Linked DNA regions of Sus scrofa. The protein of the gene in region 1 interacts with the protein of each later gene in a pairwise test. Links are inferred from orthologs where the notes say so. Each region holds a gene or a part of one and is shown in the gene's direction. Other genes may lie near its edges.

What was found. The genes of interacting proteins can lie anywhere in the genome.
Region 2: the proteins of ATP10B (region 1) and TMEM30A interact in a protein complementation assay, tested with the Homo sapiens proteins (2 studies listed by IntAct, with this or other methods). The link is inferred for Sus scrofa from reciprocal best matches to the Homo sapiens genes ATP10B and TMEM30A.

The regions. Positions count from the first base shown.
Region 1 is NC_010458.4:62,854,520-62,858,167, forward strand, and holds part of ATP10B (probable phospholipid-transporting ATPase VB), read left to right. Parts: intron 1-96; coding exon 97-288; intron 289-2,046; coding exon 2,047-2,647; intron 2,648-3,648. UniProt on the Homo sapiens protein: Catalytic component of a P4-ATPase flippase complex, which catalyzes the hydrolysis of ATP coupled to the transport of glucosylceramide (GlcCer) from the outer to the inner leaflet of lysosome membranes.
Region 2 is NC_010443.5:90,637,722-90,642,169, forward strand, and holds the start of TMEM30A (cell cycle control protein 50A), read left to right. Parts: upstream 1-1,549; 5' UTR 1,550-4,448. UniProt on the Homo sapiens protein: Accessory component of a P4-ATPase flippase complex which catalyzes the hydrolysis of ATP coupled to the transport of aminophospholipids from the outer to the inner leaflet of various membranes and ensures the maintenance of asymmetric distribution of phospholipids.

The DNA.
Region 1 (3,648 bases):
AAATCAGCCTTTCCCAGGCATGGAAGAATTTGCTGGAAGAGGCCTTCTTCCTCAGCCCCTTCAGGAAAGACCCTGACCCAGGCCTTTCTCTCCTAGGAAAAAGATGTGACTCCAGATAAGCATCTCCTGACCAAGGTGCAAGATGCAGCTCTGTGGCTGGAGGACTTGTCAGACACCAGACCCTCCAAGCCTTCCCTCTCCACCACCTCCTCCATTGCTGACTTCTTCCTTGCCTTAACCATCTGCAATTCCGTCATGGTCTCCACAACCACCGAGCCCCGGCAGAGGGTAAGGACAGTGATGGTGGGGTGGGATGGATGTGTAGAGGGGTAGAGGCAAAAGGGGAAGACCTGCACAGGGGGGACAAGATACTTTGGTCCTAGGCCCAGTGTCGCCATTTAACCACTGTGAGAACTCAAACAGACCTCTTATCCTTTCTGGGCCTCAGTGTCCTCATTTTTTAAATAAAATGGAAAAAAATTACATACAAGCTCTCTGGGTAGCTTTCACATTTTGTGTCTGTCTTCAGGGTAGATGTTAAAAGTTAATATTTACTAAGCACTTGCTATGTGCCTCCTCTCCATGCCAAACATGTCACCTGCATTATCATTTAATCCTCACAGCCCAACAACCCTATAAGATAATGTCCTTGGATTTAATAAGTGACAAAACAGTGGTTCAAAGAGCTTGAGTAACTTAAGGAATGATATATGGTTAATACATGGCAGAAACATCTGTACAGTTCTCTAATAATATCATGGTATACAGGTATCTGCTTTCTAATGGGGGTTTTAAAAAATAATTAACACCAAGTGTGAAGGTCTGCCAGTTTGGACTTAACACAGCTGGATGGCCATTTATAGAAGGTTATACTCTGAATTATTTTTCAGTACTGGAGATAGATTTATCTTCAGTTATTTGCAAACTCTCATCCAAGCTCTGTTATAAGTGAGTAATAAAAATAAATGGATGTTAAAACTTGTGGCCACAATATTAAGAAAAAGAGGGTTCAAGACTTGTAGCTGCCAAGAGGGAAGGGACAGGAATGGCATGGACTAGGAATTTGGATTAGTAGATGCAAACTATTACATTTAGAATAGATAAGCAATGGAGTCCTACCATATAGAACAGGGAACTATATTTATCAACCTCCTGGGATAGACCATGATGAAAAAAAATACTAAAAAAAGAATGTGTGTGTGTATGTGTCTGTATGACTGAGTCACTTCACTGCACAGCAAAAATTGGCACAATATTGTAAATCAACTATACTTTAATAAAATATATAAAATAAAAAAGACAAAGAGGGTTCACCCAGGTACCAAACCAGAACCTCCCATTATTACACGCCGATTCTAAACTACCCTGAAAATTTGGCAAGTTATCAGAAGTCTTTAGGGAGTTTTTGGAGGCAGGAAGTGTTATCTGAGAAATTCACCCTATTTTCAAGTGAGAAAGAATTACCATTTGGGGAAGAACAGCATCCAGTTCTCAACTTTGAAGTTAATGGAGGGGCTTTAGCTGGCAGGTATTTTGAGATCCCAGTCTGTGGAGTGAGACAGACCCAGATCCGAGTCTCAGCTCTGCTACTTACACACTGGCTGATCACAACCAATTTAAGTTCTTTATGCATCAGTTTCCCCTCATCCAGAAATTGGGAAAATGATAGTATCCCCTAGAGTTGCTGGGAGGATGAAGTAAGATGCTATATGCAAAAACAAAGCAGACAAGGCAATGGAAAGGGTTCAGGGCATGGGTCTCCTACTTAGTCTGGCTTTTGTCTCCTTTACTTTGCTTTTCCAATGATCACAGTAGAATGGTCATAAGAGAGAGGAAAATGAGCATCACCAATCCCTAGAGTTCAGGGCTGGGAGGAAACCAATGGCCTCACTCCTTCATGTTAAGAGGTGGGAGGACTTGCCCATCATCAAGGAAGGATCACCTGAACCACTGATTGGCAGAATGATCTTGTTATTCTGCCATGAGGCAGCTTGATAATTTTCCCAACCTGAAGAGGAATGTTTTCTTTTCCTCTTTCACCGCCAGGTCACTATGCCACCCTCAACTAAGGCTCTGGGGACATCCCTGGAGAAGATCCAGCAGCTGTTCCACAGGCTGAAGCTTTCAAGTCTCAGCCAGTCATTCTCATCCACTGCACCCTCCGACACAGACCTGGGGGAGAGTTTTGGGGCCAACATGCCCACCATGGACTCAGAAGAGAGAGATGATGAGTCTGTAGGTAGCGGCGGCTATTCCACCGACGGTGGCTACAGGAGCAGCACATGGGAGAAGGGTGACATTCTAGAGGTGGGAACAGGGGCCTCTCTGGAGGAGGTGCTGCAGGCCCCAGCCCTCGGCCTGGCCAGCCCAGAGCTCTGTTATGAGGCCGAGAGCCCGGATGAGGCTGCCCTGGTGCACGCTGCCCATGCTTACAGCTTCACGCTGGTGTCCCGCACGCCTGAGCAGGTGACCGTGCGCTTGCCCCAAGGCACCTGCCTCACCTTTGATGTCCTCTGCACACTGGACTTTGACTCTGTCAGGAAGAGGATGTCTGTGGTGGTGAGGCACCCGCTGACTGGTGAGATCATCGTTTACACCAAGGGCGCCGACTGCGTCATCATGGACCTGCTGGAAGACCCCGCCCATGGTGAGTCCACCTGACCCAGAGTCCAGGAGAGGAGGGCTGATAAGGGGCTGGAGTTATATAGTGTCACTCTGTCTGGAGAGTCCCACCTGGAACGCAAAACCCACAAAATGCTCTCAAAGCAGCTTCCTTAAAACCTGCTACATCTTCTCAACCTGGAGAGTTACACAGCTCATTATTAGCTTATTAAAGGCTTTAATAAGTCTTGTCATAGGGGAACCTCTTTAACTTTATCCCAGTTTCTAGTTTCCCAAACTCATTTAAATATAGACTCCCCATACAATTTTTTTTTTTCACCAGGACATCCATTAATGAATCCTAGACATACTCTGGTCCTAACTCTTAGTTTTGGAGAGAAGCCACCTGAACCCAAAGAGGGAATTGGCTTAAGAGATGGGTCCAGCTAACTAACAGTAAATGCTACATGGAGGTATCGTGAATCCCAGTTCAGAGCTCTGTCCATGCCACCAAAATTCTGCATCAAGCTCAGTTCACTCTGTGAAGCCTCAGGTGGCCCTCTTTATCATCCCTTTCCTCAGCCTCCCCCAAATGGATTTTCATAAACTTGCTCCAAGCCAGAAAAATGTTCCAAAGTCCCTCTATATCAGTGTCCAATTTTGGAGCAACATGAATTAGTGTGCAGCCGTTTCCTGACAGCTAACAAGGAGAAGACAGTTATGAGGCTATGATTCTCCCAGGATAGTAGATTCCAGCCAAGCTTTAGAATTGCCTGGGCAGCCATGTGCCTCCTGTATTATCAGCTATGGATCAGAGCCAGGAGGTTCACAAGGATTGATGAGTGTTTAGAAAGGGAAGGGAGCTAATTAGGTCTCTTCATCCCCAGACTCTGGCAGACAAGTGAATTCAGTGTTGCTGAGTCAAGGGAGACACAGCATTCTATCCCTGGGCAACAGTAATCCAAGCTGCCTCCAGAGATGTTTCTTTATTTGTTCCTCAGCTGATTCCAAAATGGATTATAGATGTGGCCAATAAAAGATACATAT
Region 2 (4,448 bases), on another chromosome or scaffold:
AAGAGTAAATGGCGTATCACACAATGCAATTAATATGTTTCTGTCTTTTCTCTTTAAACTGTGGTTGAATTTTCATGGAAATAAATAAAAAACATAGCAAAAGTAGGGTGTGTTCATGAATCTAATGAGCAACAATTCTAAAAATAATAAAAATGCAAGATGTGAAGTTTAAAAAAAAACACATATCTGGCACTTGAAGCCTATTTTCGCTCACGCCCCAGTGCTATGCCTCTGCTAAAAATACTAGTCAGAAGGCAAAGAGGGAAAACAACAAAAATTATCATAAATCCCTAAAAATTGGGAGTGTTTGTGGAATTAATTTTGCTCAGTGACTACTAAAATTTTATGTTCTTAAATTTTTAGCATTTATTCCATAATTTTATGATGAAAACTGTGTTTGTTACTTGGGGAAAATTCTGTAGATTCATGAATTTGGACAGAAATGTTTATAGGTGCCATGTCATGATTCATTTATTTTCTGGTGTTGTTTTCTTTGTATTTGTTTATGTTATTCAGGAAATTTGACTTCATCATTCACAGATTTTGTTACTTTACCAGTTTCGATTTGTATTTATTTGGACTTAGCTTTTAAAATATCAAATGTTAGGAGTTCCCTTTGTGTTGCAGTGGAAATGAATCTGACCAGGAACCAAGAGGTTGAAGGTTTGATTCCTGGCCTTGCTCAGTAGGTTAAGGATCCAGCATTGCCATGAGCTGTGGTGTAGATCACAGATGCAGCTTGGATGCTGCGTTGCTGTGGTGTATGCCGGCAGCTGTAGCTCCAATTGGACCCCTAGCCTGGGAACCTCCATATGCCACAAATGCAGCCCGAAAAAGCAAAAAAAAAAAAAAAGTTAGCTTCCTATAAGAGGCTTCCAATGTGATCAGATACTCTTAGAAGTCTTGCAGGTCTACTGTATTTTCAAAAGCAAGAGATCACACTGAAAAATTTGGGAGCTTCATTTTACTTTCACAGCATTCTCAATTTTGGCTTCTTTAAGTTGTATTAAATCCATGAGAAGTTTATTATTTTTCACCACAGCTGAGTGAATTTATGGATATGTACTTGTCTTTTATATGAATGTAACATCCTACTTTTAGTTCTTCACAGGGTATTGAAATTATTTAATCAATCAGGACATTCTCAGATTCCCATCATGACTCAGTGGTTAACGAATCCAACTAGGAACCATAAGGTTGCAGGTTCGATCCCAGGTGTTGCTCAGTGGGTTAAGGATCCGGTGTTGATGTGAGCTGTGGTGTAGGTCGCGATGCTGCTTGGATCTGGCATTGGTGTGGCTGTGGCGTGGGCCGGTGGCTACAGCTCCCATTAGACCTCTAGCCTGGGAACCTCCATATGCCTCAGGTGTGGCCTAGAAAAGACAAAAAAAAAAAAAATTAAGATTTTCTCTGTGTTATTTCCAAAGTCAGTGTTGTTGATCAAAATCCCACCAGGTGAGAAAAATAACAATTGTGACATGAAAGCATTGTGCAATATTCTTTTTTCAGTTGGAACATAATATTCATCAAATTAAAATCATTTAAAATGAGTATTTGATCTTCTTTTAAATTGTTTGCTTTAAAATAGCCATGTCTGGGAGTTCCTGCCATGGCTCAGCAGAAACGAATCCAACTAGTATCCATGAAGATATGGGTTCAATCTCTGGCCTCGCTCAGTGGGTTAAGGATCCGGTGTTGCCTTAAGCTCTTGGTGCATGTGGACCGCGCTCGGATCCTACGTTGCTATGGTTGTGGCGTAGGCTGGCAGCTGTAGCTCCAGTTGGACCCCTAACCTGGGAACCTCCATATGCCTCAGATATGGCCCTAAAAAGCAAAAAATAAAAATAAGATAGTTATGTCTGGGAATTCCTGCTGTGGCACGATGGGTTAAGGATCCAGCATTGTGCCAGGTGCGGCAAAAAGAGTCACTTCATTTCATATTTTCTTTAAACGTGGTGTTTTTCACTGTGACTAAGTAGAGGTGGTTCAGCAGATCTACCAAAATAAGAGGCACAATTCCTCAGAGTTACATCATAGTTTGAGTCCTTAGTGAGATGGAAACTGCAAGACACCAAGAGATGGAACTTGCTACAGAATTTCTTTTGCCCCTCCGCTCTTTAAATACATTGTCCATCAACATTCAGATATTTCCCACTGCATTCTGGTGTCATTCTAATGGTAGGTTACTCAGTAAAGGAAATACTGCTGAGGTTTTGCCAGCAGTCCGCCGCGGAGCTGCAGGTAATGGTTGTTAGGTAATGGTTTCAGCAAAGTGGGGGTGGGTTGATGGTGGAGTTGTGCTCTGGCTGCTTTTGTCTATCAGCCCTCTGCCAGGAATGGTGGTCCATAGGCATAGCCAGTCATAAATTATCTTTGCATTATTTGGGACAAATGAATGAGTTTTTCCTATTTATTATTTAAAGATACAAATATCAAAAAAGCAGGCAAGGCAGAGGTCTAAAAAAAGATGCCTTCCACTGGAGAGCTGCAGACATTAGAGATCTTGCCCACAGGGTGGCGCTGTGGCCTCTCTTCTTGGAGGAGCATATAGGTAAGTGCTCCATTCGTGGCTCATAGGTAACCAGCCGGCTAGGATCCCTGAGGATGCTGTGAGCTGTGGTGTAGGTTGCAGAAGTGACTCGGATCTGGCATGGTCTTGGCTGTGGCTGTGGATTTGACCCTAGCCTGGGAACTTCAGTACGCCACAGGTGCAGCCTTTAAAAAAAAAAAAAAAAAAAAAAAAAAGGGCACCAGCCCGTCCAAAATGCTGTTTATTCCGTCATTTCATGACTTCCCAGGAGAAGGGGGGTGGGGTTCTCAGGATTTCCACAATATTTGGCTCAAATGGATTTACTCCTGTTGAGCCCTGGCCTGGAGTCACTTTTGATGAGAACTGGTTTTTCTCATGGGTAGAGAAACTGGAGTAACTTTCTTGGGCCCCAAGTTTGTAGGTAATAGGGCACACTGCCCCCTATTCCTTTCTTTTTTGAATGTCACTAAAATCTACTTTTGAAATTTGTATTCACTGAATCCCAAGGAACCCATGAAAGATGTTAAGTCCTGAGACCTCTCTTTAACGGGGGCAACCCTTAGTGACTGTGTGGTTCTGGGCAGAACAACCCAATCCGCAGATAGTGGTTGGAACCCAGTTCCCTGGAAGACATAGATGATTTTTTCAGTCCTCCTTTAGTTTTCTCCAGCGTTATTTCTGGCATTTCTTTCAGAGACAGGTATATTTGAGGAGAAAATCTCTTCTTCTTTCTCTTCAGAAGCCATTTATCCTGTTCTGCCTCCTGTTGACCAGCATTGGTGTACAAAGCTCTCTCCCTAGTTTGGTGGTTAGCGTCTCCAAGGCAGGACTTGTGTGTTGCTCACAGTGAAACACTAGCTGCATAAATGTTTGTAAAGGATAATGTAATTCCTTCTTCCAGCTGCCATGTCTCTTCCTTGCATCTTCACAGAACCATTCCATGGTTCTCAGTTTTGGTCTCTCTGGCTCCCACTGCATATCTCTTTTCCTCCCTGAGAGCAAGTAATATGCACAGTCAAAATGGCAGGGTGTCTTGTAGGCACTTAGTAATTTACTCCTAATCCCAAAGGGAGAGACCCCAGCAGTAAGACCCCAGGTTTTCTTCACAAAATTGGGTAGTCTGCTGTTTCTTCCCTTGCCTCTATGCTCATTTTAAGGTTTCATATATGAAGTATCTGGGTTAAACAAGACAAGACTCTCCATAATCATGGATTCTAAAGGAAGATATGCTCTCTGCAAGGATCAAGGGCCCTCATCAGATCACTAGATGGTCTATACAACAATAGCAAGAGAGCTAAGCACCAGTTCCCAGGCAGAGCATCAGTGCAAGTAGGAAGTGGGACAATGGACTAAACAAGCAAACAAACTGAGTATCTCCCAAAAGTGGAAGTTACCAGAGATCTCTGTTTCCAAGGCAACAGCAACCTGCTAAGATCTTGCTTGAGAATAAGAACATGATTAGCCAGGGTATACAGTTTTGCAAATCATTAATGATAAGTGTAGCATGAGGTTCAACTTTCTCTGTATCCCTTTATTTCTGATTCTATTCTTTCCTGGGTGGAAAACCAAAATATCACTCAGATCTTAGGATCTGTTTCCTCACAGTTTAATTTTTGACGTCATAAAGAGGACAAGGCGTGGTACCTGCTCAGACCCCCTGGGCACACACGTCTTCTATGGCACTGACCTCATTATATTTCAATTGTTTGATGGCAGGTTGTATTTCTCACTAAAATGGTAGTTCATTGAGAGTAGGTCAGATTAGTTCAACAAGGTTTACTGAATATCTTTTATGTCCTAGGCACTTTGCCAGATCTTGGAAATGTAGAAATGAATAAAAATGTCTCTGACTTTGAGAAGCTTGTATCTAGTAGAAAAGATGAACAGATATTTTTCAGTACCATGGTAAGTGTAAGGA